4 linked regions of the Oreochromis niloticus genome follow. The protein of the gene in region 3 binds, or shares a complex with, the protein of the main gene of each other region. Links are inferred from orthologs where the notes say so. Each region holds a gene or a part of one and is shown on either strand. Other genes may lie near its edges. The genes, in order: stx18, vti1b, stx4 and sybl1.

Region 1 (7,951 bases), on a different chromosome or scaffold from region 3:
CCACCCTGCAAACACTGGCCCTCTTATTAGTCAATCAAACCCTTTTTGAATCGACTTGAAAGTAGCTACATTTCCTTTCTCATTGTGTTGACTTTTGAGTGGAAAAAGAAAAAAGTCTCAGAGGTCCACTGTGTATTTGTCAACTTTGATGTTTTCTTTCTATTTTTGCGAAGCTTCAATGGGAATTTAGGAGGGAGAGTTAGTGGGAGAGTTATGCATGTCTTGAAGGGCACCCACATCTGTTGTGCATTAGGTGCCGGCCGTCAACATTGTTACTGGGGACCTAATTTAATATTTTCTCTGTTTTGATCTTCCACCTTTAATCACTGGCTCTTGGGAGGATCAGCTTTCCCCAGAAATTGTTTGAGAGCCGAAAGAAAATGTTATTGCAGCATGTTTACGGAATCATACATGGGAAGAGGCGACCTGCATAAAAATTACTGCCTATGTGATGCTGAATAGAGACAGAAAAGGATAGCTGAGCTGGGGAGACGTGGGTGAAAACCGCGACATAACTGTAAGCAGTCAGGACATTCCAAGCTCACATTTTCAATTTAGGCAAAAACGGCTTCACTGAGATGGTCGGAGATGATATCTGCAACGCGAAGGAGACAGCCACCACAGGATAGGTTTGGGTTTCTCTTGAATAAGCAGCAGTGCCTTTATTAAACCACCATTTGTAATATCAATGTAACAGAACATAACAAAAACCTGGTTGTGCAAAGCTGCAGCAAATGGGCTTATGTTTGCCTCGGGCTGATGGCTGGAGACATCGGGTACAACTTAAAGCCCTGACTCCCCTTGGGATACGTAAAGTGGTTCTTCAAGGTACCTTTGAAGAGGTTTGTTTTTGAGATATTCATGTCAGGCCAAAGAGCAGCAGTAGAAGTATAAGCAACATGTACACTGCTAGATCTTGTACCGTCAACCATAGAGGATAGGTCTGTATTTCAGTGGAAAAAGATCATTTAAGATGTTTCATAAAATGAGATCCAAAGCTGTTTTTCCCCAATATATTTAGTCTTATGTGAAATCCTACAAATAAATTGATATTATTACAGTATTAGAGGAGATGAAGTCAAAATTCCATTACTGACAGTGTATTAAAAAGCTAGAATTTTTCAGTGAGACCAAGGTCATTTTAACTGGGTATTGCCAGAAAACTAAGAAAGGAAGAAAAGAAAAACATACTTCTTCAGTCGTGTAGCTGTTCATATTTATATGGTTTCTGAAAAAAATATAAACTGCTGATCCAAGCGTGTAAAACTTTTTCTGAATATCAGTTGCAGGCTTTGTGTTGTGGAAAATAAATTGCACAATTTACAATTAAACTGCAATATAAATGAACTGTTCTGATGAAAAGAAGAGGCTTCACTGAGTTCAATGCTATAAAAAGTGTTTTTTGTTTTTTTTTACTTTTAGCTTTTATTGATTAATCTATAGGAAGGCTATTGATGTGACAATTTTGTCCTTGAGTGATTTTTTTTCATGATAATTTGGTCAGATATGAGAATACAGACTGGGAGACTGCACACCAGCAGCTATGAAACAACATTTCTGGCTTATTTCTCTCCCTGCGTTGCCCACATCTATCAATCTGTGCCAAGACTGTTTTTCATGAAGTGGAGTATGCACTTATAATAACTGCATACTCCAACAAATGCAGTTATTATAATAATAACCAGGAATTGTAAAACACAGTTGAGCACACGTAGTAAGCCTGGGCATCCCCAGATAACTTTAATGAGTGAATATTGTATTCTTAACGCCTGGCTACAAAATACTAAATAAAAGTTCAATGTGAACAAGGTTTCTCATCTGTAAAAGTTACCTGTAGATTACCAAAGTATATACAGGAAATGGCATAAGGTGAGTATTTCTCTTGCACTCTGATGTGTTTGTTTCTAATTTCGTCTAACCTGGTGACTCCCAGTGAAGTCTTAAGTCTTAAGAAGTCTTAACATCTTCAGTTCGGCCTCCGGTCGTTTTTGTCAGTGCCACCACCTCCAAGCCATACATCATAGTAGGTCTAGTCTTGCAAACCTTCCCTTTCCCTCTTGGTGCTATCCTTCTCTAACAAATCACCCCTGATATTGCATCAACCTTCTTCACCCTGCCTGCAAACTCTTTTTCACACCTCTTATGCACTATCCATTGCTTTGGATGGTTGACCCCAGATACCTAAAGTAATCAAACTTCAGTACCTCTGCTCCTTGCAGCTTCACTGTTACACCTGTCTCCCTCTCATTCACACACATGTATTCTGTCTTGCTTCTACTGACTTTCATCTTCTCTCAAAGCATACCTGCACATCTCCAGGCTCTATTTCACCTGCTCCCTACTCTCAGTACAGATCATCAAAGCCGTCAACAAACGATTAACTGGCCACTTATCGTATTAGTCAAAAAGAGCAATAATCAAATCCTATATATTTTAAATCTCAACATATCATAATATTATGTAATCTATGACACATTTTGAATATAATTTGCATATATTCAATGTAAATTTTTAAAAATCTAATCAAATTTAAGTTCATACTGCATTTAGCAAAGTTATAGCCTGCACATGTTGACAGGCCCGGCTAACCACGAACAGCGCCAACACACTAAAGAAAATACAAGTGGTAAGCATCGTATATGCACTGTATATGTTCCACTGGCTGCTGTTGCTCCTACAAAGTAGTAGTAAGTTTAGAAGCTGCCATTAAACGTAAAGCACTTTGGCCACTGTGCTAGCAGAGTTAGCTAACGCTAGGCTGGATGAACACTCACCACTTCTTTCGCCCTCGGTGAGAAGCCACTCTTCGGTCTGCTTCTCTTGAAAATTTCATCTTTGGTCGAGTCGAAGCCAATTCCTATGGCTTTGTTCCTGGTTTTGACCGTCTTAACGCTGGCTTTGAAAAGTAGCGTGATATCAACAGCCATGTCTGAGCAGCTGCAGCCGACTGCTCACCGCTGTAAACAAACTGACACGTCACCCGGTGAGGACGTCATCTTCGTGGGACGCGCTAGATTTTTCCTGTAATACGGGTACGAAAGCGTTACGTTTCACCTTAAAGATTTCATCAGTATTTATTTATTATAACTAATATTCAGATCATAATAATTGAATTCTGCCAGAGTCCGATCGTATATTTAAATACTGGTCGCTTAGAATCAACTCTTATAGGGAAAATCTTTAAATATCTTTAATTTTAAAAAAATCTCTTAATATTTTAACTGAAACCTTGAGTCTGAAAGCATTAACTTGAAGCCTTTACCTGTATGTGCCACGAATCAAAATTTCAGCTTTGTTTTAGGCATGTTTTAGGGAGCACCAGTATAACAGATAATCCATCACAGATAATCAATCTGTGTGTATCTCCATTAGATAATTGCCTCTAAAGGCTCTTGAAGTGATGTCCAGCAGAATGCAGGAGAAGAGAAACAGTCAGAAGAAAATATAACACTGGAGAATACAAGGGACAAGTCTGGGAAACGACAGTCCAAACCATAAATGCTGCCATCCCACAGGTCCATTGTACAGTTTCAGAGTGCAACAAAAATGGGAAAATCTGATTGCAAATACAAGGGAGGAGATCAAACGACAGAAATACACAGAGGTAAAGGTGAGGAAAATCAACGTGTTGAAGCAAAATTTATAGGATAGTGAAAAACAAGGAAAAAGCATTTAAACATAGAGAGACAAAGTAGGGAGTATGCATGAATGATTTAATCAACTTGCTATATTTATCAATAAATAATGCAAGCAATGATTCTTTGTTAACAGATAAAAGCCTGTCCATTGAGCAGTTCATTACAGAGACCCGAACAGTTATTTCTGTAATGAACCTCTGAGACGTGCTACAACAAGAGAGATACGACTCTTTAGCCCCACAGCTGATGGAAACTCTTAGTTTATCAAATCAGAACGAGTTTTGGGGATTATTTACTGAAGGTTTTCTGAAAGATTGCCCATTCATTTAAAATTTAAAATAACATTTATCAGATAAATTAATGGATAAAAGTTTTTATTCATGCTGTGTTAGAGATGAAAATATTCCCACAATAGATGAAAGATTCCCAAACAAGAAGCAGCTGACACAGTGACAGCTCCCCACATATACGAATATACGAATCTCTGCAGCAGAACCAAAGATGGCATTTAGTAATGTAGCTAAATCACTGACGGTGCTGTTGAGAACGCCACATGCTACTGACATTACCGACTCTAGTGAACATCTGGATACTTCTCATTTTACTTCTCTATCACCAGCACACCGCACAATCAACAAATTAAACTATACAGTTTATCATTTTAAATGTGTGGTTTTTTCTGTGAAACGATACGAAATATTTAGTCTGAAGGAAGACACTAGTTTTGTTCCACCTCACTAAGGAGGTGTAAGATACCTCCTGACCTGGTGAGCTATAAGAATATTTATATGCCAGTGCATTTTTAAAATACACACATTCAACTTATTTCCGAGTTTTCTGCCACCTATGAATGCAACCCGTGTTCCTACCAATGGGCTGATTTATGCTGTGTGGGATTTGTTGGATGGTTTTCAATGTCTTTGTGGAGACTTGTGCTCAGAGACTGTGCAATTTCTGAGCTGTGCAGTGCAGTTTTTCTACACTCCCTCTACCTGGTAGCAATGTGATGAATAAGGAAATGTTTTGATGTTTATACTGACAGATGATGGCTGCATGTTGGTGCTAATCAAAACTAATATTCATGCCAGAACTTCTGTCTGTTGTTCTAATGATTATATTTTGGTATTGTATTGTAACTGCCACAATAATGAGTGATTGTCAGTACAGTCAAAACAAACAAACAAACAAAAAAACCCCAGTTAATGCAGTGTGGTAGAATTTTGTTGTCTGTTTATATTAAAGTACATCAGTGTAATTACTGGAGGCTAAGATGCATAATAGCTTTGCTTTTCCTCCTGATTACGCAATTTGTCGTGTAAAAAGAAAATCAACACGTTAACTCAGAGCGCTTGTTATCACTAAAAATCTCCTGAAAGATACTGTATTTACTTTAAACTTTCCATTCAAGACTGCATTTAAGCTTGTGTTATTTGTTTTTTTGGAATGGACATGAAGTTTTAGATTTTAAAGATAATCCATGTTGCAGTTACTGATCAACAGTAGTTATAGTAAAAGAATGGGGGGTGGATCTAAATTGCCTGTACATATGAATGTGAATGATTGTCTGGCTCTCCCGGTTAGCCCTGTGACAGACTGGCGACCTCTCCAGCCAGCCTGTACTCTGCCTCACACCCTATGACAGCTGGGGTAGGTTCCAGCCCGTCTGTGGACTTGAATTGGATAAGCAGAAGAAATTGGATGGATGGATGTAGTACTTGGGAGCAATATAGTGAAAACAGCAATATAGTGCTTTTTGGTGAAGTGGCACAGTGTTTTAGCACTGTCACGTTACAGCAAGAAGAGCCTGGGTTTGAATCCACTAGCTGGCTGGAGACTTTCTGTGTGCAGTGTGTATGTTCTCCCTACAGTATGTTACTATGGGTTCTCTCCAGGTACTCCAGTTTCCTCCTACAGACATGCATGTGTTAGGGTAATTGGTCATTCTAACTCTTTCCACAGGTGTGAATGAGCACAAATGGTTTTCCCTCTGTGTTAGCCCTGCAAGAGACTTGCACTGTGTACCCTGCCTTTTGCCTTCTGGTAGCACAGATCCAAGACCTCTTGTAACCCTGGATTAGATAAACAGAAGAAGACGGATGATTAAATGGCCACATAAAGAAAATTTTATGTAATATTTAAATATTTTTGCAGGGAATGAGTTATCCCAAATAAATACTGAATTTCAGTTATTTTCACATTCGGCTTTTCTTTGTAGGAGGCAAAATTTGTCTCTTTCTTCTTCTGTTAGAAATGTAGTTTATTTGCTGAGTCACCTAATTCACTCTTAAGTGCAAATTTGGAGACTGTCAAGATTTGACATATACAAATATACATATTCATAAAACTCCAGCCTAATCTTGCCAGTATAAGTAAAGCTAGAATAATGTCCTGTCTAGACAAATGTAGCAATTTGTGTGTACTATTTCTCATAAATCTGTTTATTTGCAAGTGACTGGGATTGGCACTCAGATATAAGCAGTTGGGCTTAGAGTGTTGAATAAAAGTCTGTTATTTGCTATGTGGTTTGCTCATTTCCTTTGTTAGTGTTGTGCCAGACTGTTTTACAGCTGAGTGCTGCGACTGTCTCACCCTTTCTGCAGTCTCAGCATTTAAAATTCTTATAGTTTTGACTTTAGTAAGAGTGTATGTCTTGAAGCATGGTGTGCATGGGCACGCACAAAGGAATGATTGCCTTTAAGATGCCAAAATGTGCTGCAAGAAATCTAACCGATCGCTGAATTTTCACTACGGTACGCATCACACTTTACTAAGCTAGAAGAAAAAGGTGACTGAATGAAGTTTCAGGAGCATATTTTCTTTCATAGATCCACTATGTGGTCCTTTAAGTGCAAAAAGCCATTCTTTCTGTAATTAAATTTGCTCTCTAGTGTAGCGGGTCTGAGCTTTAATAGAGCTTATTGATGAGCTACCCTTCACTTTAAGGGAATATGCTAAAAGTCATAAACTGGATGCAGTATATCAAGCTGTTTTTTTCTATTAGCATTCCCAGCTGTTTAGTTATCACTTCTAGCTTATTAGAGTGGCATGAAAAAGTATTTACCTCCTTTGTGAGTTCTGAGTTTTGTTTTTGCATTTGTCAAACTTAGATGTTTCAGTTTCATCAAACAAATGTTAACATTTGACAAAGATAATCTGAGAAAATACAAAATGCAGTTTTTAAATGATGATTTGTTAAGGGGGAAAAAAGCTATCCAAACTTATCCTGGCCTTGTGTGAAAAAGTAATTGGCCCCTTGTTAAATTATAAATTAACTGTGATTAACCACAATTTTTTGGAACACAAACAAGTTCAGTTTCACTAAACACACCCAGGCTTGATTACTGCCAGACCTGTTGAATCAAGAAATCACTTAAATAAAACCTGTCTGACAAAGTAAAGGAAGCTAAGAGATTTCAAAGAGCAGCACATCATGCCATATTTTAAAGTCATTGGCATCTGTCAGTCTGGAAAGTTTTACAAAGCAATTTCCAAGTCTTTGGGACTCCAGCAAACCCCAGTTAAAGCCATTATCCACAAATCAAGAAAACTTAGGACAGTGTTGAACCTTCCCAGGAGTGGCCAGCCTGCTAAAATTACTCCAAGAGAACATCAACAGCTCATCCAGGAAAAAAAACCCTCACTTGCCATAGTTAAGGTCAGGGTTCAACAATAAGAAAGAGACTTTCACACAACACAAACACAAAAGCTCGTCTCACATTTGTGAAAAAAGGAAAAAAAAAAAGCATCTCTAAGATTATCAAGACCTTTGGGAAAATATTCGGTGGACTGACAAAATTTGAACTTTTTTTTGGATGGTTTGAGTGGTTTGAACACAGCATTTTATAGTAAGATCATCATCCCATGAACCATGAATTCTGCTCTCTATAAGAAAATCCTGAAGGATTGTTTGTGCCCTGAAGCTCAAACGAACTTGTGTTATGCAGCAGAACAATAATCAGAAAACACAGTGGTGTTCTTTCAGGGCAAGCAAGGTAAGCAGTGCTTGCCTTATCAAATCTAAAAATATACATAAATTAAATCATACCAAAATGAAGCAATCCCCCCTTTAACCTCCGACAGTGCTTTTATAGAGCTACTTACTTGTCAATTAATATGAGCATTCAGCCTTCACATTACAGCCATCTTGTTGCTGCAGTCGACTATTGTTGCAGTAAGGTGTGCTTATTTCAGTCTCACAGAAAAGTGTAGTCGTCTGTGTCTCTGAGGGCGTGTCCGTCTCCTGTTTACAATGAATGAAAGCAGGAAAGCTGAGAGGTCAGTAGCATGTTTCTGTGAATAAGCTGCTCCTTCTG
Region 2 (7,352 bases), on a different chromosome or scaffold from region 3:
TTTGCATTAAAAAAACGAAGGAACTACTGTGGTGTAAGACGTCTTGTAGGGTGCACTTACCGCCTCGACATTGCACGAAGAATTTTTCTACTACGACTCAGATTCTCTCCAGTATTCGCAAGCTACAAAAACAACAAGACAGAAGAGTTTCAACAAACCTACTAATCTCAGATCATATCGTCATCCTACAGTACTGTGCCAAAGTCTTGAGCAACTATTCATTTCTTTATAGTTTGGTAGGAAAATAGGAAATATATGCAACGATTTATTGAAATGTGCAAACATGCATGAAAATACAGCACATAAGGTAAAAACAGAGTTTTTATTTAAAATGCTAATGAGCTTGAAAGTTAATATTTAAAGTTTTAGTTAGGTTAAAATTTTTAAGGACTGCACAGGATAGAGAGATATGTCAGGCTGACAGCTAGTAGCTTTTTGGAAATCACATTTTTAGTCCAAAAAATAGTATTTTATGCCTGTTGAACTGTGTTATATTTGGCATTTTTCATATATTTGACTAAAAAATTTGAAACTAATAATGTGTTTTTGTGATAAGTTGTCTGTCACGTGTAGACACATCAATACTGGTTCATCATTTGATTTAGGTGCCTTTTTAAGCTTAAACGATTCATAGGTCAGTGACATATAGACATCACAGGTGGCTAAAGACTTTTGCACAGCACAGTACAAGAATACAAGCGTAATAATGATTCTCAGCTCACTCTGTTTCTGGTTCGATCCAGCTGTTCCCTCTGTTCTCCCAACTCCTCGATGATATCTGTGCCAATTTGCTCTGTCTCAGCAGCGATGCGCTGGCTGCGTTCAATACTCTGGCTGGCGTTATTTAGAGCATCCGTACCCTGAAGAAGCAACGCTCTCTGGGACTGCAGGTGCGTCTACAAAGATGGGGAAAAGCGACAAATGAAACCAAGTTTAAGCAGATTTATTCTGGAAATACACTTACATAGACATTTTGCTGTCATGACAACTTCTACAATTCCAATGCATGGCTTTAATAAGATCCACAAGGATCACTAGGAACCAGGGTTGACATTTTTCTCTTACATTTTATTTAATTTAAACAGTTCTTGCTTTTAATTTGTCATTATTTTCTAACTGCAGTATGAATGTTGTTATCCTCTGTCAAATAATACAGTCTGGATCTGTAAGTGCTGCTCAAAAATAAGCCCTTATAAGTTGAGAGGATTTTGTGTCAAACTGATGAAGATGTTTTCTTGATTTGTGCGTCTCCTATTTGTATTTTTTTCTTATGTTACAGCACACTGATATTCCTCAGCAAAAAGAGGAAGAAAAAAAATACACACCCAGAAAAAGTCTTACCCTACACATGCAGCCTGACATAACAGCAACATCATAAAATAATGTTTTGTGCATCCAAACAGACTAGGGACAGGGCCTGTCACACATCTGCAACAGCAAACCCAAGCATCCCAAAGCCCCTCACTCACACTGTGCTGATTTTGTGAAGAGTAGATGCCATGATTTCCTTGCACTGTGTTGTACGAGGAGCCAAAGCCAGGTGCTGAGTTTTTCATGTCCCTCTGAAGCTTGCCGAGGTCTCGCCGGTACATACGCAGTTTTGTGCTCATTGAATTTCGATAGGACAGAGGGGCAACGCGCAGCTCCTCTTCCATTCCTTGTAACTGGAGAAAGACAAGAAAATGTTATTGTTTGAGAAAAAGACAAAAAAGGATCTTACTCCATAGAAACAAGGATATATTATTAATGTATTCACTAGTTTAGGCTTAACCTCCGTAAATCAGAACATTTCAGTGCCGTTTGAATTAATGTACAGTTAAAAATCTATTAAAATAGGGCATACTTACCATACTACAGAGAGCTGTTAACTAAATTTATTGAGAGCTTCTTTTATTTTGGTTTTATTCTTATAAACTTGATGGCTAACATATTAGAAACATCCCTCAGATTTTGATAATATAGGTAATAAGGTCGCTTTGGTGAGAGTGACACATTCAATCTAGTCAAAAAAGCTTGGAGAAAACCCCCCCAAAAATGTATAAGCAAATATCCAACCCTGGTGCTAGCACAAGACTCAATCATGTCACTGCATCTTTGTCATGTCACTCACTGTCTCGTTCTTTTCCAGGTTAAACAGGTGTTGGTAACAGGTTTGCACATATGTTGTAGGACACAATTTGGAGTGCATAATTCTTAAATAACTATTTAAAATATGTTGATGTTAAACAATGGAATAACAGTTATAAAAGATTTGTGTCAACAAAATGAAAAAAAAAAAAAGTTGTTTTTTTTTCTCTTTAAACTTCACTGTTTTACTTGAAATGCATTGTGGTTACCAAAAAGACTGGGCAAGAGAAAAATGCCTTTTTTGGGGTAAAATGTACACTAGGTTTCCATTTTGTATTGAACAAGTGTTATTTGCACAACAAATGCATGTATTATTTTGATAATTCACTATTTCTCTGGTGGTAAATTTCTTAAAAAGTTAATTTCAACCTCAATTTAAGAAAAAAAGTGTATTTACATGCAAAAGACATAGCTAGTAGTCAAGTGAACTTTAGCTAGCTGTAATGGGAAAAAGATAAACAGCTCACCACTTCTTCAGCCTCCCCATGTCTCTCATCAAAGGTCCTCACCAGCCTCTTCCTCTCCTCTGCAGGAGTGACAGTACAAGTGTTACTTAAAAGCACATAACTTATATTCCAAGGCGTAGTTATTTTGCTAATCTCGGCTTTATGAGCAAGTATTTACCTCCGTGAGATTTCTGAGCCTTGTCTGGCATCAGCTTCAGCTCCTCGTACAACGATCGGTACATTTCGTGCAACTTCTCGAATTCCTCCGACGACATTTTGCGTGTCGTTTAAATTCCTTTCTTGTGATATTATTTTTGTCTTTTATTGTAAAATACAACACTGTTTATGATCACAAGTTTAAGTATGTAGTTTTGCTAGGACTATAATCAGATCCTCGGGATTCTTCCGGATGGTTTTCGACCGACCGTCGTAACTCCGGAACAAAAATCAAACGTACTAAAATGTAATTATTTTTACTAGATATGAAATTGAAAAAATATTTTACAAACACAATTGTGTAGGAATTTAAAACAAAATAGTGAAATGTTGTGGAAAGCGTGTTTTAAAATCACCTGGATAATTATTTAACAATTATTTCATTCAGGCGCTACAGAGACAACGTTAATGGGGCTTTCTGGGAAATGTAGTTTTTAAACCGGGCTACTTGGGAAATGTTTGTTTATTCGGTTATTGAAACTACATGGATTCAGAGTTCCCCTCGTTGAAGATGGAGGAATATCCACATAGTAAGTGTCTATAACGAATTTTAAAGTACAGATCTATTTTGAATGTATAAATAGCCTGTCTAAATGGGTGATTAATCATGTATTAATGTTTCAGAGAGCAGGGGGAGAGTATTATTTCATGTTTTTTGTTTTGTTTTGTGTTGTTTTTACCTAAGACATCAAAACATCACTGTCAAAATAATTACAATGTATCTTATTGAAAGTTAAAATGGCACATTAAGGACCTGTTGGGACTTATTATATATATTCTTGTATAACAAATACAACTGTTTAACACTGCCCTCACTACTATGTCATAAAAACATCCTCATAAAGGTTTACAAGATGGTAGAGACACCTGCTATGGTGTATGGTTTGGACACAGTCCTGCGAGGTCTGTGAGGCAGGAGGAAACAAGAAAGACCAAAGAACAGGTTCATGCAGAGGGCAGGTGTGACAGAAGAGGAACAGGGGATAGGGTGAGATGGTGGCAGATGATCCACTCTGGTGACCCTTAAAGGGAGGAGCAGACCGAAAAATAAGATTTCCTTTATATTTATCAATATTAATTGAATATTAACAAACACTTAGAGCATAAAACTTGCTTGTTTTATTCTGTAAGTGTTAGGCACACACTAACAAGTCTGTGTTAGGCACGGTGGTAGAAGACTTTGCATGAGTGGGACAAGTGTTTCCCACATTTGCTGAAATGGCAACCTAGGTGCCTTTACAGTCTTATAACCCCACCAACCCCTGTGTTGATTTGCGTTTTAATCTCAGTTAGGTAAGAATAACACTAAACACTTCTAGTGCTATCTCACATAGCCAGTTTAGAATCACTAGTTAACCTGACATCCAGGTCTTTAGGAGGAGGCCAGGATACCTTTAAAACACAAAGTTTAAAGTTCCTGGGTGTGCACATAGACACAGACTCCCAATGGAGCTCAAACACTTCGGCGGTTGTAAAGAAGGCCCAACAGTGTCTCCATTTTCTAAGAATCCTCAGAAAATTGGACCTGAAGAGGGAACTGCTGATTGTCTTCTACTGTTGCTCCATTGAAAGTGTGCTGACATACTGTATCTCTGTATGGTTCTCCAACTGCACCATGGCACACAAAAAGGCACTTCAGAGGGTCATTAATGTCTCCCAAAAAATCACTGGACATCCTCTTCAGGCTGCTGAAGTCATGGACAAAACGGACTCAAGAACAGCTTTTACAACAGGGCAATAGCCCTAAGCAATGCTACCAGCTGACCAAATTTGCTACCTCGCTGGACTTTTTTTTTTTTTTTCCTGGGGGGGGGCAGCAATAACAACAACAACAACAATAATAATAACAATGATAATGTGCAATAAACATTCACTCATTCTTTTATTTATTTATTAAGTTATTCATTTTTTTTGCTCATACCTTTCTTCCACTTTTAAAAAACTCCACTTTAAGTTACTGTGTTGTGTTATTACAATGCATCATTGTTTTGCATTTTATTTGAAGGTCCCCTTTAAAGTCCAGCACCACAAAGAGGTAATTACACAAAGATGCCATCTACAGTTGCATAAAACCGCAATTTTCCTTGAGCTGACCCAGAGTGGTGAATCTAAAATCGATTTGAATAGATGTGGGTAAAATTTGACCCAGAGCAGCCTCAATTTTTCTGTATTTTAGCAAATTTCATTAAGCTTCCAGCTTAAAAAATGACCTATAGGGGATTTTTACTGCTGTTAAATGGCTAAAATATAATTCAACTGACTTTCTGTGTGTGCTTAAGACGGGGCAGATGAATTACATTTACCAAAAAATTTGAAACATTTGAAACAAGTGACTCTGTCTTTGTCTTTTTGTTGTTAATAATTTCTTAACTAAATTTGGTTAATTTCTTTTTTATGACATTTCACTTTAAAACCACTGCGCCCAGCTGCAAACTCGGTGTACCCTGTTACGTAACGTCTCCAGTAGCCGTCTTGTCACGCATCGAACTACAATCCCATGATCCTGTGCATGGTTCAACCTTCACCCCATCCGTTTGCAGCTCGCACCCCCATTCCTGCTTTGACATCAGCTGTTCCGCCTACACTTCGGTAGCATCCTGCTGGAAGAGGCAGAGGAGCGCAGATCCATAGCATGATGTTCCTTTTATTAATTATCGCGGGCCTCGGAGTGGTGACGCTGCTGGTGATTTTATTTGCACCACAAATAAGGTAAGCGCCCACTTCACGCGCTCAGTCATTAGAATTTAAACGCAGAGTTTAACACTGGATGTCAGGGCAGGTTATTACTTGGTTAACAAGACATTTAGGTGGTGTGTTGTAGTTATTACGATGAGGATCAGTTTGATTAATGAAGCCACATGATCGTTATTTGTGAATGCTTTACGTTAATGGTGATTTCACATGAGGCTGCTGATCAATGAAATAGAAAAATTGAGCTGTGGGAGGGTGTTTTTTTTTCTTGCACAGATGAACCGGGTGTCTTCCGTCTGAGCTGCTCGGGCCTATCAGCAGCCGGAGCGTGGGAGGAGTTATATATGCATGCAACACTCCAAGAGAGCTATTGGTTATGTGGCGGCACTGCTCACTGGCGTGTGTTTCGCACCACTTGCACACTTCACTATCCAAGTTTTTGTGTGAATAATTAACCCGGTTTCACCACAATGCCAGCTTTAACGGGGGCATAGCATGTAGAGACTGCAGAAGGAGCTCCTAGTCATTTAAATGGAGCTGTCTGCTGCATTTGATGATGCAGAATTTGTGTAGTATAAATCAGTCTTGTTTGTGTGCAGAAAATATGCAGCAGGAGGAGTGTGCAAGTCCACAACTCGTCTTGATGGGAAGACGGTCCTCATCACTGGAGCCAACACAGGAATTGGGAAGGAGACTGCCCTGGATCTGGCAATGCGAGGTGCCTCTTTAAATCCATAACCTGCTACTGAGAGAAATCAGCAGTCTCTTAAAGCAATAAGACTGAAATCAGCGTCCTTGTCCCATTTAAAATATACATAATAAAATGGACCATGGTGTGACACAATTAGCTGTTGTGGTCTCAAGGAAATCCTCGCTTTAAATGTAGTCACATAAATACTTGACTTGTTGTATGATTATAATATGGTCAATATGCCATCAGTCTGGGTTTGGAAAAGGTATAAAGTTTTATTTTGGTTTCGTTAAGAAAAAAACAATTCAATCCTATGAGTGGGTCATGACCTCCAACCGTAGCTTCAACCCTAACTTCATGTATTAGGTGCGAGTGAAAGGGATTGATGCATGTCGATTAGAATGATTCGTTTTTTTCTCACCTCATTCCAAATACTCAGGGGAATAAGCTTTACAAAATGTTAAAGAAATACATAAAAAACATTTACATATTCTGAAAGCACAGGATTAGGACTAGGTTTGTCGCTGATGATGACTCACAGTGCCATTAAAATCTTAATAATTTGAGATAGAAGGCAACTGCATTTCTTTAAAGTTTGTGAAGAGGCTTCTTTAGTTCTGAACTGAACAATCATTTTTTTTCACACTGGGTCAGGTCAGTTTAAATTGCTTTTTTCCCCCCTTAATAAATTATATAATAATTTAAAAGCTTTTTTGATGATATTTAAGCGTGACAAATATGCAAAAAAATCTACGGAATCAGGAAGGGGAAAATACTTTTTCCATGGCACTTTATGTTAGAGTGGATTGTTAAATGTTGTCATTTTTATGCTTACCATCTCTACATTGTTTTAACTCTGTGATGAAAGGATTCTTCTGTCCTTCCCCCAGATTCTCGAGGTTCTGAGTGGGGGGCTGTAGTCTTTTATTACAGGCAACATCCTTGTGAAGGTCTTTTTGATGTTTGGTAAAACTTCTTGCCCTTTGTATGGTTTCACTTTGTTATCTATGGTAAACAATACATTGGGTGTGGGGGAGACTACCCTCTTTATGACCAAGGATGTTGCTCCTGCTTTTATGACCCTCTTTGGTCAGGAGGAGGACACACACACACACACACACACACACACGCACACACATTCTTATTTACATACAGAAGTTCACACATATACATACAATGCC
Region 3 (7,841 bases):
AGAGATATGTGTGAGTGAAAGAAAGACAATAAGAGAGATAAAACTCTATCAGTTGTAGCAGCTCTGGGGAGCTCATTAATGGTGTTGTTTCAGCATTTGATGTGTTCAAATCAAGATAAAAGTCTTAAATAAGGACGTTGTTGAGAATTCTGTGAGCATATACTCTTTATGAAATGATCTCATCTCTGCCTTTCCTGTGTGTCTGTGAACAATAATACATCAAATGTTTTTAGTTTTACAGTCACATTTTCTGTGCAAGTATCAGGAATGGACAACTTTACTAAAAATTCAAGGAACAAAGATAATGTTAATGTTGGATAGTTCATTGGCTGAGTGTTCTTCCAAGCCTGACACACACTGATAAAAGCAGGGATGACAAAAATGTGGCTTGGGGGACAGAAATGAGTTGCCGAAGGGTCCAATCAGACCCATGGGAGGACTTTACAGAGTGCAATGAGTTCCAGAGGACCTATGAATAAGTAATCCCAGAGCCAGATCCCAGGCTTCAGACCGCTCTAAACACTAGACATCTTTTTCTACTCTTGTGGTTCTCAAACTTTTGTCTGAGTCTGTGAAAAAATAATTTCTTGAAAATAAAAGTCATATTCATTCAGCTTAGCTTCACCTCATGGACCCGTGTCCATGTTCCACCTGTACGTTTCTCCACACACCAAAATTAGAGACCCACTGGCTTAAAGGAAGGAGGCAAAAGGCTTATTTTAAGTTACATCGTGCTCTAAAATAAGATCTGTTAATCATGCGGAGCTACTTTAGCAGAGCAGACAGGAATGAGTATAATAGGACGCCCTTAAAGACATACAATGCTAAATTGGGTTCATTCTAAGGTGTAATATCTGAGCCACTTATTTCTTTTCTGAACTGAATTGAACTGAATCTAATTTTTGCATCTAAAGCTGCAGTATATTGATTTCTTTTATATTTAAGGTAATAAGGATCGAGACAGGAGAGCTTTCCAGAGTGCAACTTTAGCCCTTTTACCAGGACGTACTGAGTTGCAAGACAGCGAGACTGAAACATGCTGACAGAGGATGTCCAAACATCCATGACAAGCATCTATAGTTTTCCTGGATTTGCCAAAGATACATTTATTTCTAATGAATATTGATCATTGTGGCTATTGTTCTCGCCATTTTTAAGAAAGATAGAGTTATCATTATATTTTTTTAAATTAATGAACGTTTCCTTGGGTAGCAGCTGATGTATGTCTGACTTAGATTCGAACGCTGACACTACTGTTCCAAAGTCGTTAATGTCGTCAATACACTATCCAGCACAAGCTTGACAACAACGTTGTACCAAGGGCTGAAGGAACATCTGGAGTAGAAGGAAGGTAAAGTACAAAGTGGTCCCAGTGCTCCCAGTAATCGGAGCATTAGGAGTTGTAACCCCAAAACTGGGAGAGCAGCTCCAGCAGATTTCAGGCACCATATCAGAGGTATTCAGAAGAGTGCAGTCTTACATATACCTCAGATGCTGTGCAGAACCTTCAAACTCCCAGAGGGTCCTACAGTACCTTAGCCCAGTTCTTCTCAACCACTGATGGTGGTGTCTCCTAACGGTACATAAGCAGCACAGATGTTCTATCCCAGTCACTCGTTTGGGTCTGTCTGTGTACGCCAGGGGTGGGCAACTTCAGGCCTCAAGGGTCAGTGTCCTGCAGGTTTTAGATCTCACCCTGCGTCAACACACCTGAATCAAATGATTAGTTCATTTCCAGGCCTCTGGAGAACTTCAAGACATGTTGAGGAGGTAATTTAGACATTTAAATCAAATGTGTTGGATCAAGGACACATCTAAAACCTGCAGGACACCAACCCTTGAGACCTGGAGTTGCCCACCCTGGTGTATGCTGTCCAATAGTCTAGAGGGAACCTTTGGACCCCCTGCAACTTTGGTCCTGGCAACCACCTCCGGTCTCTTTCATCCTTATGTCCATACTGCTCACCATTGTTCCCAGTGTGCTGTAACCTCTGGATCTCCAGCTTCAACAGTAACCATCTTCTGCTGATGTTATTGCACTGAGCTGCCAGGTCCTTCTAGCTCATTGTGGATGTTGGTTTTCTACTGATCCCACATGTGCTGCACATAACCTTTTTTATTGTGTCAGCTGGCATAGTAACATTCCACCAATTCCATATTTTCAGTCCTTCTCCATGTTTGCATTGTTCCAATAGACAATAATATATAAAGGTGAGCTTGAGACACTGGACTAAAGCTTTCCTGTAACATTTGTGTTTAGGTTAGGAGATTGTGCCACCCTGTGGACAACCAGCAGTCCTGCAGCTCAAAGAACCAGCTGCTGCAGATTATTTAACTCATTCAGTTTAACAACCATATCTTAACAATGCATCTGCATGATCGCAGTTGGTTTATTGATATAGCAATGTTTAATTTTATGAGTTGTTTTAAGATTTTATGATAAATTAATGTGAAAGCAGTGCTCTACAATTTGACTTAACATAAACAAGTTTCATTGTTGGGGCGGAGGTCAAGTTAAGGCAATCATTTGTGTTCTTTTAAAAATCCAGCAGAATTTCTTCCTGATTATTTTTTGATTACTGAAACTTCATTACTCTGTTCATCAAATCATGAGTCAGTCTCTCACTTTCTGCTTCAAGGTTCCTACAGATGCCGCCCTCGTCCTGATCAGTGCACAGCTATGAGCCTGTCCTCCTCCCACAGGGATCTTTGTTCTTGAAGGTTTCTTTGGTGTTGGGTGTTGTAGAATTTTGTAAGTAAAGCCTGCAACACGGAAAGAGCTGTGATCAAGCTATTTATTACTGCGCGCAGGAGAGCCAACACACATTTAGCATCACAGTTCACAGTCATGCCAGCTCTTCCCCTTGGGATGTCTCAGCTTCTCTTTTATACCCCCCACACACAACTCTGTGTATCTTTTAGTTACAATAGGTTTCTGTCCCACGGGCTGTGGCTGGACAGGGGACAACTCCCACTATCTTTTCCCAGGAAGCTCCTGGCGCTGGCCCTGAGTTTCATCCTTCTGAGCAAAACAGTTAGCAGATAACATAGTGAAACATCGTTAAGCAAAGCTAAGCAGTTTTCACAAGGTCATGCTGACACATACACATACTTCATCTGAGCATTCAAAGGTTATACAAAATCATACAGTGAAGTTCTAACCAGCTAAATCTACATGTAAGGATAAACTAGAATTTTTCCATAACATTGGGCCAGTTCTGCCTGGAGTTTGTTAGTTTCCTCTTAGTGCTGAGAATTTCTCAGTATTCTTTTTCTTTTCTCTTTAAATGCTGAGAGCTGTTTTTAGTTGATCCAATTTTTTGGGAAACATTTGTGTGCAACTTCCCCTTTCTTGTAAACTTCTACTTAAAGAAATACCCTTGCTTTTTCTGCCTTATCTCTTTGAGTTTTACGCAGTCCTTTTCAACTGCTCTATCTCCAAGACTAAGGCAGCATGCTTTTCCTCTAGGGCCGTTATCTGTTCTGCCTCATTGCCCAATGTCTGACTGAATTCGAAGTTCTCAGAAACATAACATTCACTGCTCGTGTTTACAGGCTCTAAAGCAGCCTGTGGTTCTTTCACTGTGATGTCACTCAGCTCAGGGTGAAGAGGTGGAGTAGTTTGGAGAACGTGTGGTGTTTCTGCAGACAGTGGGCTTCAGTGTTGGTGCCATAGGCTGTGTAGATGTTTCCAGCAGGTAGTTTAAGCACCACTGCAGACTCTTGGAGGGTCACTGTCTACTGTGGTCATGGAGCTGCAGCAGACTCCAATTTTGGTGCTCTAGCAGGCTGTTCCAAGATTTCAGTTCTTGATTTTCAGCAGATATTAGAGTTGTGACCTAAACTAAAATGTTGTAACTCCCGACTTTCAGCAGGGATCAGTTTCAAACGTCTTTCAGGATTTGTAAAGCAGGATTTTCTTGTTCTAGTGCAGTTACCTTCACATAATTTGGATCTGAATGAAAGCACTCTTCAGATTCAGAGGCTGCACTTTTCATGCCAACGCAGGAGACAGCAGATTTTAGACGGTTTTACTTTCAACTTGCTTGGACTGCACCTGTAAATTCATCACTTATAGCAAAATCTGAATTTTTTAGGCATTTAAACAAGCAAACTATGGACTGAATTGTTTCTGCCTCTGTGTGTAATGTCTTTTTTCATCTATTTTTTTTATAGGAAAAGATTTTGATTCCTCAGGCAACGGCTGTTCTCCAGTCAGTAGAAACTATTAAACAGTAGTTACAGGCCGATTGGAACAAATCAGTGTTTCTAAATTTAATTTAGTCACGCTGTTTATAATGCTGCCACAATATGACCTACATGTAACTTTTGGTGCCTAGGTGGTACAGAACAAGTGAGTGAACATAACATTAGATCTTATGTCGACATATCAACAGCATCTGCAAGTACAAGAGTAAGTGAGCAATATTACTGGCCCTATAAAACTGGCTTAATTTTAAAATTTGTAATAAGTTCTGAGGTCTGTTTTCTGTAAAGTCTACAATTGCATGTTATTACATTACAACACCCATGACCAAAATATTGTTGTTCGTCTTTGTTTGCTTTTCCTGTTTATTTTTTCCTCTTTTCCTTCACTTGTCCACTAAATTATCTATTCTCTTCTTTCTTTTTCTGTGCCTCCTTAATCTTAATATCCTAAAGTCACGACCCTTATATCCCTACTATATCTGGACAATATATGTTTATTGATCTATATAAATATTCGCACATATTTATCTTTATATGCCTAGATTATTCTACGTAGTGAGTATTTGGGAAGAAAGGAAGCCTACGTTTGGAGTCTTTCAGCAGTTCCTCCTGCTATGACAGGGGGCGCCAGTGAGTCGATGAGTTGAGTGTTGAGTGGGCCGCAGAAGAAGAGGCGCTGCCGCTGGAGTTTACTAGTTGAATGACAGCGGCGGCGTGAAGTTTGCGGATATTACGCTTTGGGAGCGGCTCGCTTTATTTCAGTGCAGCGTTTTTTTACTTTTGATTTCTTCCCTTCGCTTTTGGAAAAATGAGGGACCGGACCAAAGAATTAGGAAATGTGAGTTTCAAAGTAAACTGCTAACATTAGCCCTAGCTTGCTAGCGTGGCTAAGTTAGCCCAGTTCACTACTTTACCCGAGTTAACCAAAGAGTCTCCAGGGACAACTTAGACCAGCAGAGGGAATCAAAAAAGTGGTTAAAGTGGGATTTTTTTTGCAGATATTTCTCTTTATAAAAGTTGACTTTATTGACGTTTCACTTCCAACTTCCGTTTCAGTCCTTTCTCCTTAAAGGATAGGGCAGGCCGGGACAGGGCAGGGCTGCAGGGCTCATGATTCACATCCTCGGACAGCGAGAAAGCACTCACTGTTTTTCTTCTGTTTATGTTATTTAAAATCAATGTGACTTCAGACCGCAGAGGCTTCGGATGACGATGAGGAGGGCAAAGCGCTGATGAGCAAATCTGGAGGCTCAGAGAAGGAAAATGATGCCTTTTTCAAAAAGGTAAGGCAGAAAAATCACGCACTTCTCCCTGGAAAATCCCCCAAAATCAAATGATCTGCACTGTCCTCATTCACTGTGGTAGTTTGCGCACATTTCTGAATATCACATTTGTGTAAAAGAGAGACAAAAATGCACTGCAGAGGCTTAAATATCACAGACTGCTGCTGATGCTTCTTAGCCTGTTTTGTCAACAAATCATAGTCTGCTAAATCCCAGTCTCCTTGTACCCGAACTGTCATGAGTAAGGAACCAGAGTTAGTCACCTAATATCACAAAATGTGACTATTCTCTGCGCTGATCTTAGGCCTCTGTAATAATATGTTTGAATATTTTTTGGTTTTGATTTAAAATGGTTTGAAGAAACTGCTCATTTTATGCATATTCACCCTTTTGTCCTTGGAGTCTTATTCTTGGTATGGAAAACTCCCCCTAGAAAGTATTTTAAAGGTCCAAAAAGTGTGACTAATATTTCAGGAATGCCTTAGATATTCTCATATTTCAAGATTCAAAAAGTTTACAAGCAAAACACAGTTTACAGGTTAATATAAATCTACAAAATTGCAAATGTACAATTATGAATAATTAATGTTCGACAGTTCATCAGTGATTCAGCCTGATGGCCCGTGGATAGAAATTGTTTTTTGGGTTTTTTTGGTCCAAAGCAAAAACATGGAAAGTAGGAGACCTCTGAGCCTGATCCACTTGACCTTCTTGCCACTATAAATTTTTAGAAAGACGTTTATGTTAGTGACACCATTCACCAACAGGAGGAGAGAAGCTGGAGGATAAGGACCAAGGTTATCTGGGGAGAGGACACAAGGACGTAAGGGCAGGGAGCCACAGAGGCTGGACATCCAGTGTCAGGTTAAATAGATGTGGAGTCAGAGCAGTTTAAACTGTACTGCGTAAATAAGTGGGTTAACGGTGCTGTATGCAAGTGTTTTATTTAAAAAAAAAAAAAAATCAGCAGTTGTTCAACTAACATGAATAGTCTAGTTATAAGGCAGATTAATTGGTTAGTGAGCCATACTGAGCCTGAAGTCAGTTTCAACTGTCATGAAGGTGGCTTTTTACTTGGCTGGATCACTATAGTAACTTGGACTGAACACATGACCTGGTCTGCAGAAGGTTATGTTCAGTGTTTTGGTTAAAAATCGTCTGGAAATGCCGTGTTTTCACTGATTGAGAATATGTTGTACGTATGGTTATGTTTTTCATGCTGAGGAAAGCTGAGCAGCAGTGTAAACAGGGTGCAATCATGGAAGCTCGCTCACTGAAGAACTTTTTTCTTTTTCCATCCATAAGTCAAAATTTGTAGCTGGCGTCTTAAAATGTTGACTTTGATTTGGCCACAGACTGAAGTGGTTTCCACACCTTTGTCATCGAGCCATGGTCCATTGTTAGTCCTGAATTCACTGAATATTATGATGAATCAAGTTTAAAATTTCACAGCTTTAACTTGCAGCCGTCGCGTCAAAAACCTTTATTGCTTCGGCAGAAAATAAGAGGGTAAGTAGCAGCCAGGTGCTGCTAATCAAATGCGTGGGAAAACTACGTCATAACTTGTGACATAACTGGAACCTCCTCTTAACCCTACGCCATAACCTTCCACGTGTTGTGGGCTGCATCGACCCAGCATGTAGTTATATTTCTTGAGAGGTGCACGTCAGGTTACGGCGTAGGGTTAAGAGGGGATCTGGTTACGCTGCAGATTTATTCATGCATTACTTTACAGGACTGGTATGACTTTAATAGAGCTGTGCATAAGCAAATGTCTGCTAACCTCAATGACCTGAAACAGTGTTGAATTGCTTCCAAACAAGAAAATGATTACCTCAAGTTATGGGTGCTAAAGGTTTTTCTACAAGCTGCTGAATCGTGAAGTGGACTTTTTTTCATGTGATGGTATATTAATTCATGAATTCACAAAACAAACAATTTTCTGTAGCACTGCTTCTCTGAATTATTTGCTGCACCAGTATTGCTTTGTTTTGTGAGTGCAGTCAGAGCCTGAAGCAGAAAGCCTGTGTGATACCCATTATTGTCTCTGATGGGGGACTTTAGGTGTTATTGAGCCAGCTAACGCAAAGAAAGCTTACCTATGTTGGCATTCCTTCATAGTAAGCAGAGGCAGCTGCACCCATTTAGCTATAAGGACCGACAGAGGGAATAGGATGATGTTTGCTTGATATATGAGTTAAATTGAGCTAACAAAATAGTTCTTTTGTTCCCTAAGAAACCTAAAATTCTTTCCCTGTCATCGTCAGGTCCAAGAAATTCACGAGGGGCTCCAGCAACTCAAAAGGATGGTGTCTGACCTCGAGAACAAACAGAAAACTGTGCTGGGCG
Region 4 (7,541 bases), on a different chromosome or scaffold from region 3:
CTGTGACATGTGATCGTTACAGAGTTGCACATTGAACGAAGCATTGAAGTAAACAAATCTGTGTTGAGGATTTTTTTTTTTAGAATCTAGTTACTCGATGAATCGTTGAAGCCCTAAAACGCTGTCACAGAGATTGCTGACATGCTCGCTTGTCCTCATTCCAGTCACACGTACTCACTTGTTCACCAGCACACGTAAACATGCACACACACACACACACACACACACACAAACTAAATCTAGCTCATCCAGGTGATACAATACTGTCAGAACTCTTCCTGCTAATCTAAGAGAGCCAGTGTGTAATTTTTGACAGATATAGTTTGCACTTAAACTACTAAAAGCAATGAGCAGTTCATATTAAAACACCTGTTGGGGTTTTAAAGAGAGACAAATCACATGCTTCCGTTTGATAACACTGTCATAAAATAAAATGATTATCATATTATTGTCTATGAGCTGGAAAGCGAGGAAAGTCCCTTCTAGCTGGAGTCTTACTACAGATAACAGCCATCAAGCTTCACTCATACCCTTTGTACATCAAATAAGCCACATGTGTAGGATGTGACTTTAAAGATAAAAAAGAAAACATTTTTAAAATGTTTATTTATTTTTAACTGATTCCTTTGATTTGGATTAATCAAAGGAATACTCGGCTACTGAAATAATCGTTAGCTGCGGTCCTAATCTGACTCGGTACAACCCAGCCATAATTCTGGCTGCAATCAATCAATTACAGATGTCTTGATCTTAATCCGTGTATAAAACACATATTTTCAATTTTATTCCATTCCAACCTCCTCAAGAACAAGCTTGGTGAGAAGGTGCAATTATTCACAAATGGAGAATATAAAATGACCATCACTCGCCCTCAGTTTGAATCTCCATGCAAGATCTTACCTCATGGGTGAGGACAAGAAAGACGATGGATAAGCCCCAAACTAAAGCTTCTCAATGACCTTATGGCAGCTGGGATCACAGACCCCAAGTACACCAAGTGGTAACACACTACGTAGTAACGGATTGAAATCTTGCAGCACCCACAAGCTCTCCCTGCTCAAGAAGGCCTGTCTTTAGTTTGCCAGTGAACATTTAAATGATTCAGAGAAGGTTTGGGAGAAACGCCTGCGTTCAGATGAAACAAACAACTAACTCTCTGGCTTGTGTTTTAAAAGAAGAGAAATGCTGAGTTTGACCCAAAGAACACCATCCGCACAGTCAAGGAGGTGGAAAAACTATGATTTGGGGCTGTTTTTCTGGTAAAGGCACAGGACGACTTCACTGCAATGAGTGGGCGAAGCTACGTACCATAAAATTCCTTCCCTCAGCCAGAACACTGAAGATGGATCCAAGTCACGTTTTTCTTGGCGATAAAATATTTTTTCACTCAAACACAAGCAAATCAACTCATAACTTTCATGTAATGCGTTCTTTTCTGGATGTTTGGTTGATATTCTGTGTCTTTCCATTTAAATAAAACTGCCATAAAATTAGAGGCAGTTTATTTCTTTGTTAAAAAGTTTGTATATTCAGCTGGAGATTTAATAATTACTCCCCCCTGTGTACGTGTGCCAAAATCTGGAATAGAAATAGTGAAAGTGGGAACTAATACATGGACAGCTTTACATAAAATTACATTAAGACATGAATAGAACGCCCGACTGAAAAAGACAAAGGAAAAACTGAACTGAGGCCTGGTTAAAAGAATATTTCCCTTTTTCTTATGCTAAACTAAATATAGAGCGACACAAAACCGGGATATGGGAAATGAATGTTCCTCATGAGCGTCTGTGCAAGTGCAAAAAAAAAAAAGAAACAATTCAGGATTGTGTCAGTGATCGTTAACTGAATATGCTTGCTTTTGTTGGCTGCTGTTGAAACCAAGCTGTCAATTTTTAATGTCGCTGCGCTTGACTATCTTGTTTTGATAATCTAAGCGATTAACCAAAAAAAGATGTGGCATTAAAAAACAAATGAAAAGAATGCTGCGGTCCTCCTGGCCCCCTTTTATCAACTGACACGGATGACCTCAATCCAGCGTTGTGATTGCGGTCTTGGTGGAGAAATTTAACGACCAAAATAAATACAGATCATTTCAAAGGCCGATCTGATGCCCAAAAGTGTAGTGAGTATTTTTTTATTTCTCCTTGTGCCTCGAAGGTAATCGGGTTTAGCTGTATTGAAGCCGTGAAGAAAAAAAGAAACCTCCAGGCAACCAGAAACTTGGTTCAACAACAAAAACAAGCTGTTTTCTCAGTCTCGCTGAGTCCTTTCATGTGACAGGGCTGCTCTTATCTTTTGTGAAAGCGGGTGACAGATTTTTTTTTTTTTTGCAACCGTGCAAGTGGTTATAGCTCTCAAACTTAGGGCGCGTGTGTGTTATTATTTGCAGTATATCCTGATCAGCCTTTTTACCTTGCAACACTGGCCAAAACCCTTTATTCTCAATAAACACAGCCTTGACGGAGCGGTGCGTATTAACAGAGACGTCTCTCACCTCGTGTCTGAATGCGAAAGTTGATCTTGCTCTCTGACGGATGGGTGATGGTGTAGCCGCAAAACTCCACATCCGCGCTGGCAAAAGAGAAAAGCGGGGAAATGAAGGTGAGGTTTGCGAGCATTCTCAGAGTTTTGCTCAAAAAAAAAAAAAAAGACTGGTAATGACTACATTTTTTTACATTAGCAGACCCTCTCCTGGCAGGATGACAAGAGAGCCCCCAAAACAGGGAAGAGGGAGAAATCACATGCTTCCTTTTGATAACACTGTCATAAAATAAAATGATTATCATATAATTGTCTATGAGCTGGAAAGCGAGGAAAGTCCCTTCTAGCTGGAGTCTTACTACAGATAACAGCCATCAAGCTTCACTTTGAACGTCAAATAAGCCACATGTGTGGGAAGCGATTTGAAATATAAAAAGAAAAAAGAAAACACGACGGTGACCATGCTGAGTTCAAAGGGGGAAAAAACCAACACAAAAACGCTCACTTCTTCATGATCATGTATCTGAGGGAGTTCCCTAACGTATGGTCCTCGTCGTGCAGCACAAAAGTCACACAGCCCTCATCTGCCCCGTCGGCCTGGACCTAGAATGCAAAAAAAGCCCATTCTTTAAACATCGCACAGCCAACATGGAAGAGAAACATTACACCAGCTTCCTCCTCTGAGATTAGTGAGTGGGCGAGCCGCTCACGCTCATTATGCACTTCCAAAATATTCAAAACATACAGAGTTACAGATGCAAATAAAAACAGACACTGATTACATGCACAGTTGGGTCCAAGAGTATTTGAGAAAGGACATGATTTTATTTGATTTTTTTGCCTCTGTACGCCAGCACAGTGGATGTGAAATTTAAGAGAGAAAAAAAGAAAAATCAAGATGTGACTTGGAGCTTTAATTCAAGTGTTTTAACACCAAAAGTGGACCTACTGTGCACTTTTCCAGCTCCATATTTTGCTCACTGGACTCTTTGTTTGGGTCACATAAAATTTTCTCATTTTTAAACCAGGCCTTTTTTTAAACTCAGGCCTCATAAACTTTATCAAACATCTACAACACACAATTTTACCCCCGTTCCTCCTTCTTTTAGGCCAGCCTTCATCTGATTGGCCACCATTCACAAAGTGAAGATCTGCACTGGAGCAGCTAGAGCTTATTTAAAGTGCCTGACTTGTCCATGTTAGGGATATCCACTCTCAACAGGAGAAACAATAGTTTGTTGTTTAGAGTAATATGAAGCCTGAACTTTTTAGCTCTTAGGAGTCTTTTTTTAAATGTACAAACACTAACTTCATTATTTTCAAGTTTTTGTTTTCTTTATGGAAAACCATCAAAGAATTGCAGCCATTTTTATACGACAACCCACACTTTTACAGCTGCGAAGGCATGCAGGCCTTCACTGCGTTCGTCTTTACCTGCTGTTTGTTTGTGGCCCTCTCTGCTTTCAGTTTTGTCTTCATCAGTAACTGAAAACCATGCTCTGCTGGGCTGAGCTCTGATTTGACCATTCAGGAACATTTCATGTCTTTGCTTTAGGAAACTCTTGGATTCCTTTCTGTCTGTGTTTTGGGTTATGGCACTGGAAAGCACCGTCTTATCAGTTCTAAAGCACTTTGGCTGAATCTGAGCAGAGAGTACTCCCTGTACGCTTCACAGTTCATCCTGCTCCTTCTATCAGCACTCACATCATCAATAAAAACCAATGATCCAGTTATACCGGCATCCACACATGCCCATGCAACAACACTGTCTTCACCATGCTCAAAAGATGATGAGGTCCTTCCCCTCTTATCATAGTATCCCCTTCCAAGGTAGTTAAAGCAATACTTTTAAACCCACTTGAATTAAACCTGAAGCTTCATATTTCATTTTTAATTGGTATCTTTATTTCACATCATCTGAGGTAGGAAAATTCAGAAAAATGCATCACTTTCCAAATACTTATGGCGTTTATCTTCATAGGATATGAACACTGTTTAACTACTGCCCCCTACTGGAGATACTGTTAGGTACCCGTGGACTGAGAAAAATCCGCATCTAAATTAAACAAGTAGGTACCCTCATGTTCCAAATTACTGTTTGTCTCCGGTGCTGGTAATGCTTCAAAAAGACAGATTTTAGCGTATACTTAAGTTAGATTAACGCCGGTTAAGTTTATTTACTGCTAGCCACTGTAGCTACCCACGTGAGGAGCGCACAGGCGGTCAAATCGCTGCCATTCGCTTTTTTGGTTAATCAATCCGATCTAGAAAAAATAAAGACGAACCCATCCAACCGCGCACACCATCAAACCACACACGATTTTCGCTTTTTACCATTTCTAGTACTGCTTTCTTTTCTCCTTCCCCGGCCATGCTTCACTTTCCCACCGCATCCGTCAACAGAGTAAGGTTAAGTACTGTGCTCTTTAGCCCTGAATCTGGTTTGACAGGCAAAGGAAAGTTCAATACGACTGAAATTTACCTCAATGTTTTGGTAACATATGTATGATTGTAGCCATACACTATCAAATTATCAGATAATAATTTTCATTTAAAGTGACGCAGCTCTGTGGTTGGTAGAATATTTGTCAAACGCGTCGTTTGACAAATATTATATTTTTAATATTTTTAATATTTTTAATATTTACCTGATAAATATTTATTTCAATAAAAGCTAACCTGTTGAGCAATTAACAATGGTAAGTTTTGTCACATCTCTATCTGCAGGGGAAAGCGTTATCTAGCGTTCAAGTCGCCTGGAAGACTCTAACAGGGCGAAATTCGCGCCCCTTCTATAACAAGTCGTTTATACGAAGACGTGACGATGGAACTACGTAATATGTAACTGGGGGTAAAAAGAAAAATGTAGTTCCAAAAGGGAAACAACGACGTTAAGTACATAGAGCCAGAAATGCGGTACGAACTACACTCCCCGGCACGCGCTTGAACGTGTTTCCGGTCTGGACGATTTGCTTAGCAGGCAGAAGTCACTCGAAAGGGATTAGCCAACTAGCAGCTGAAACGTCTTTAAATGTGGGAATTTGCGCTAAATGAGCCACTTTAATCGTCGTTGAGACATCCAGGTAATGAATATGATGTTATGTGACTATTACGTACGTTAGCTCGGTAGCTAAAAACAACCAACATGGCGTCAAGCGGCTAACTACCTTTCTGACGCTGATATGTACGTTTAATGGTCAACAACAGTGTTAGCTATCTTGTTGTTTCCCAAATTTTGGTTCATCTAGTATTAGCTGGCATTTTACTCTAGCATGACAGCCTGCTCATGATTGGGCATTTTCCTAGGGCGTACTAATGGCAGTAATTGGATTTCTTAGTTACACCTATTCACATGTCATTTTATTTCCTTCTTCCTGTTATCTGTAACTATTTTTGGCTGTTTCACAAGAATTATTCTTCCCTAATCATTATCGTTTGGGTTTACCCCCCAGCCCAGCAGTAACAACTCGCCTTCCTTGTCCTTCTACCTCCAGGGAGGTAATAAAGGTGAAAACCCAGCTGTTGCCATGGCAATCCTGTTTGCTGTGGTGGCTCGAGGAACCACTATTCTTGCCAAGCATGCATGGTGTGGGGGTAACTTCCTGGAAGTTACTGAGCAGATTTTAGCTAAAATTCCCTCAGAGAACAACAAACTGACATACAGCCATGGCAGGTAAGGGCGTGTGCGTGTGTGCGGCCTGTGTCATCTCCAGTTGGCAGTTTACATCCTGTTTGTGACTGTGCCTACGGCGGTGTCATGTGATAAAGTACCACAGAGTTCATTCCTTGTAAAAACTGTAGGAAAAACAGCCCTACTGTATAAAACACCTCTCATCTAACGATTAACCCTTCTGCTTTATTTCTAGCTATCTGTTTCATTACATCTGCCATGACAGAATCATATACCTGTGCATCACGGATGACGTAAGTATATATTTGACAGTCATATATTTTTGTCAGGGGTTTGGATTTGCAGTAGGCCATTTGTAGATGTTATGAATGTATTTTAAAAACCTGAATTAGTATAAAAATAAATATAAACCACCCAGCCACTGTAGGAAATGGACACATGTCCTGTGTTATTGTAGAAAACCTAGCATTACTGCTGTTGCTAAAGATGAGATAGGTTTTGAGGCAGCCACAATTGATTATATGCAACTTCTTATAAACCTATTTGACTCTTATCTTCTAAAGGACTTTGAGAGGTCACGTGCATTCACCTTCCTCAGTGAAGTGAAGAAGCGTTTCCAGACAACATATGGCTCACGAGCACAAACAGCCCTACCTTACGCCATGAACAGCGAGTTCTCCTCTACACTGGCAGCTCAAATGGTGTGTATGATGAAAGCCTGAACATACCAAGCAATGTTTCCTGTGACAGCTCTGTGATGTCTTAATATTTCTGTGGTTTAAAAGAAAAAAAAGGAAACAGAAGAAGATGTGAAGAAGTGTGACGTGTTCCTTTTCTTTGCAGAAACACCACTCAGATCCACGTGGACCCGATCGTGTCACTGAGACTCAGATGCAAGTGGACGACCTGAAGGGCATCATGGTCCGCAACATAGGTGAGCGTCTCTTCAATTTCCTCATTTTGTATTTATTCATAAATAAATAAATAAACAAGGCTCTGAGATGGAAAAACCTTAACTTAAACTCTAATAAACCAAGTTAGATAAAACCTGTAATGTGTGACTGGTGTGTGGTGTGACTTTCGCCCTTAAATGAGTGCAGTGTTGTATCATGAGCGACCACCTCACTTACAATGCATGATGTGCTGTGTTTAGTGAATTACTCATATGTATTGTATTATGTGTATTCACACTAAATTCACTGTTTGCATTCATTTTTTTACAGACTTGGTAGCTCAGAGAGGAGAAAAGCTGGAGCTGCTGATTGACAAGACAGAAAACCTGGTTGATGCAGTGAGTTTAACTACAACTGATTAGGCTCTGTTGCTTCTACTTATTTTCTGATGAATGACATTTGTCATTATGTATATACTGCAACTGCAGTCTATTAAACAACAAATATTGTTACTGATTACATTTTTTTCCTTC

Evidence for each region.
Region 1: stx4 (region 3) and stx18 share a complex: the UniProt entries of both Homo sapiens proteins name them as parts of the SNARE complex. The link is inferred for Oreochromis niloticus from reciprocal best matches to the Homo sapiens genes STX4 and STX18.
Region 2: stx4 (region 3) and vti1b share a complex: the UniProt entries of both Homo sapiens proteins name them as parts of the SNARE complex. The link is inferred for Oreochromis niloticus from reciprocal best matches to the Homo sapiens genes STX4 and VTI1B.
Region 4: stx4 (region 3) and sybl1 share a complex: the UniProt entries of both Homo sapiens proteins name them as parts of the SNARE complex. The link is inferred for Oreochromis niloticus from reciprocal best matches to the Homo sapiens genes STX4 and VAMP7.

Annotation. Positions count from the first base shown.
Region 1 is NC_031970.2:27,530,381-27,538,331, reverse strand, and holds the start of stx18 (syntaxin-18), read right to left. Parts: upstream 3,002-7,951; 5' UTR 2,928-3,001; coding exon 2,775-2,927; intron 1-2,774. UniProt on the Homo sapiens protein: Syntaxin that may be involved in targeting and fusion of Golgi-derived retrograde transport vesicles with the ER.
Region 2 is NC_031983.2:21,977,740-21,985,091, forward strand, and holds the start of vti1b (vesicle transport through interaction with t-SNAREs homolog 1B), read right to left. Parts: upstream 3,006-7,352; 5' UTR 2,849-3,005; coding exon 2,752-2,848; intron 2,654-2,751; coding exon 2,595-2,653; intron 1,665-2,594; coding exon 1,470-1,664; intron 897-1,469; coding exon 723-896; intron 123-722; coding exon 61-122; intron 1-60. Other genes in the region: rdh12 (retinol dehydrogenase 12), read left to right, coding at 5,422-5,498, 6,080-6,198. UniProt on the Homo sapiens protein: V-SNARE that mediates vesicle transport pathways through interactions with t-SNAREs on the target membrane. These interactions are proposed to mediate aspects of the specificity of vesicle trafficking and to promote fusion of the lipid bilayers.
Region 3 is NC_031973.2:5,168,062-5,175,902, forward strand, and holds the start of stx4 (syntaxin-4), read left to right. Parts: upstream 1-4,834; 5' UTR 4,835-5,017; coding exon 5,018-5,047; intron 5,048-5,399; coding exon 5,400-5,492; intron 5,493-7,759; coding exon 7,760-7,841. UniProt on the Homo sapiens protein: Plasma membrane t-SNARE that mediates docking of transport vesicles. Necessary for the translocation of SLC2A4 from intracellular vesicles to the plasma membrane.
Region 4 is NC_031966.2:31,859,133-31,866,673, forward strand, and holds the start of sybl1 (vesicle-associated membrane protein 7), read left to right. Parts: upstream 1-4,537; 5' UTR 4,538-4,553; intron 4,554-4,818; coding exon of another isoform or gene 4,819-4,857; exon of another isoform or gene 4,858-4,935; intron 4,936-5,378; exon of another isoform or gene 5,379-5,567; intron 5,568-5,936; exon of another isoform or gene 5,937-5,978; 5' UTR 5,979-6,011; coding exon 6,012-6,157; intron 6,158-6,350; coding exon 6,351-6,408; intron 6,409-6,678; coding exon 6,679-6,816; intron 6,817-6,958; coding exon 6,959-7,049; intron 7,050-7,338; coding exon 7,339-7,406; intron 7,407-7,541. Other genes in the region: polr1d (DNA-directed RNA polymerases I and III subunit RPAC2), read right to left, coding at 2,498-2,574, 2,990-3,087, 3,919-4,011. UniProt on the Homo sapiens protein: Involved in the targeting and/or fusion of transport vesicles to their target membrane during transport of proteins from the early endosome to the lysosome. Required for heterotypic fusion of late endosomes with lysosomes and homotypic lysosomal fusion.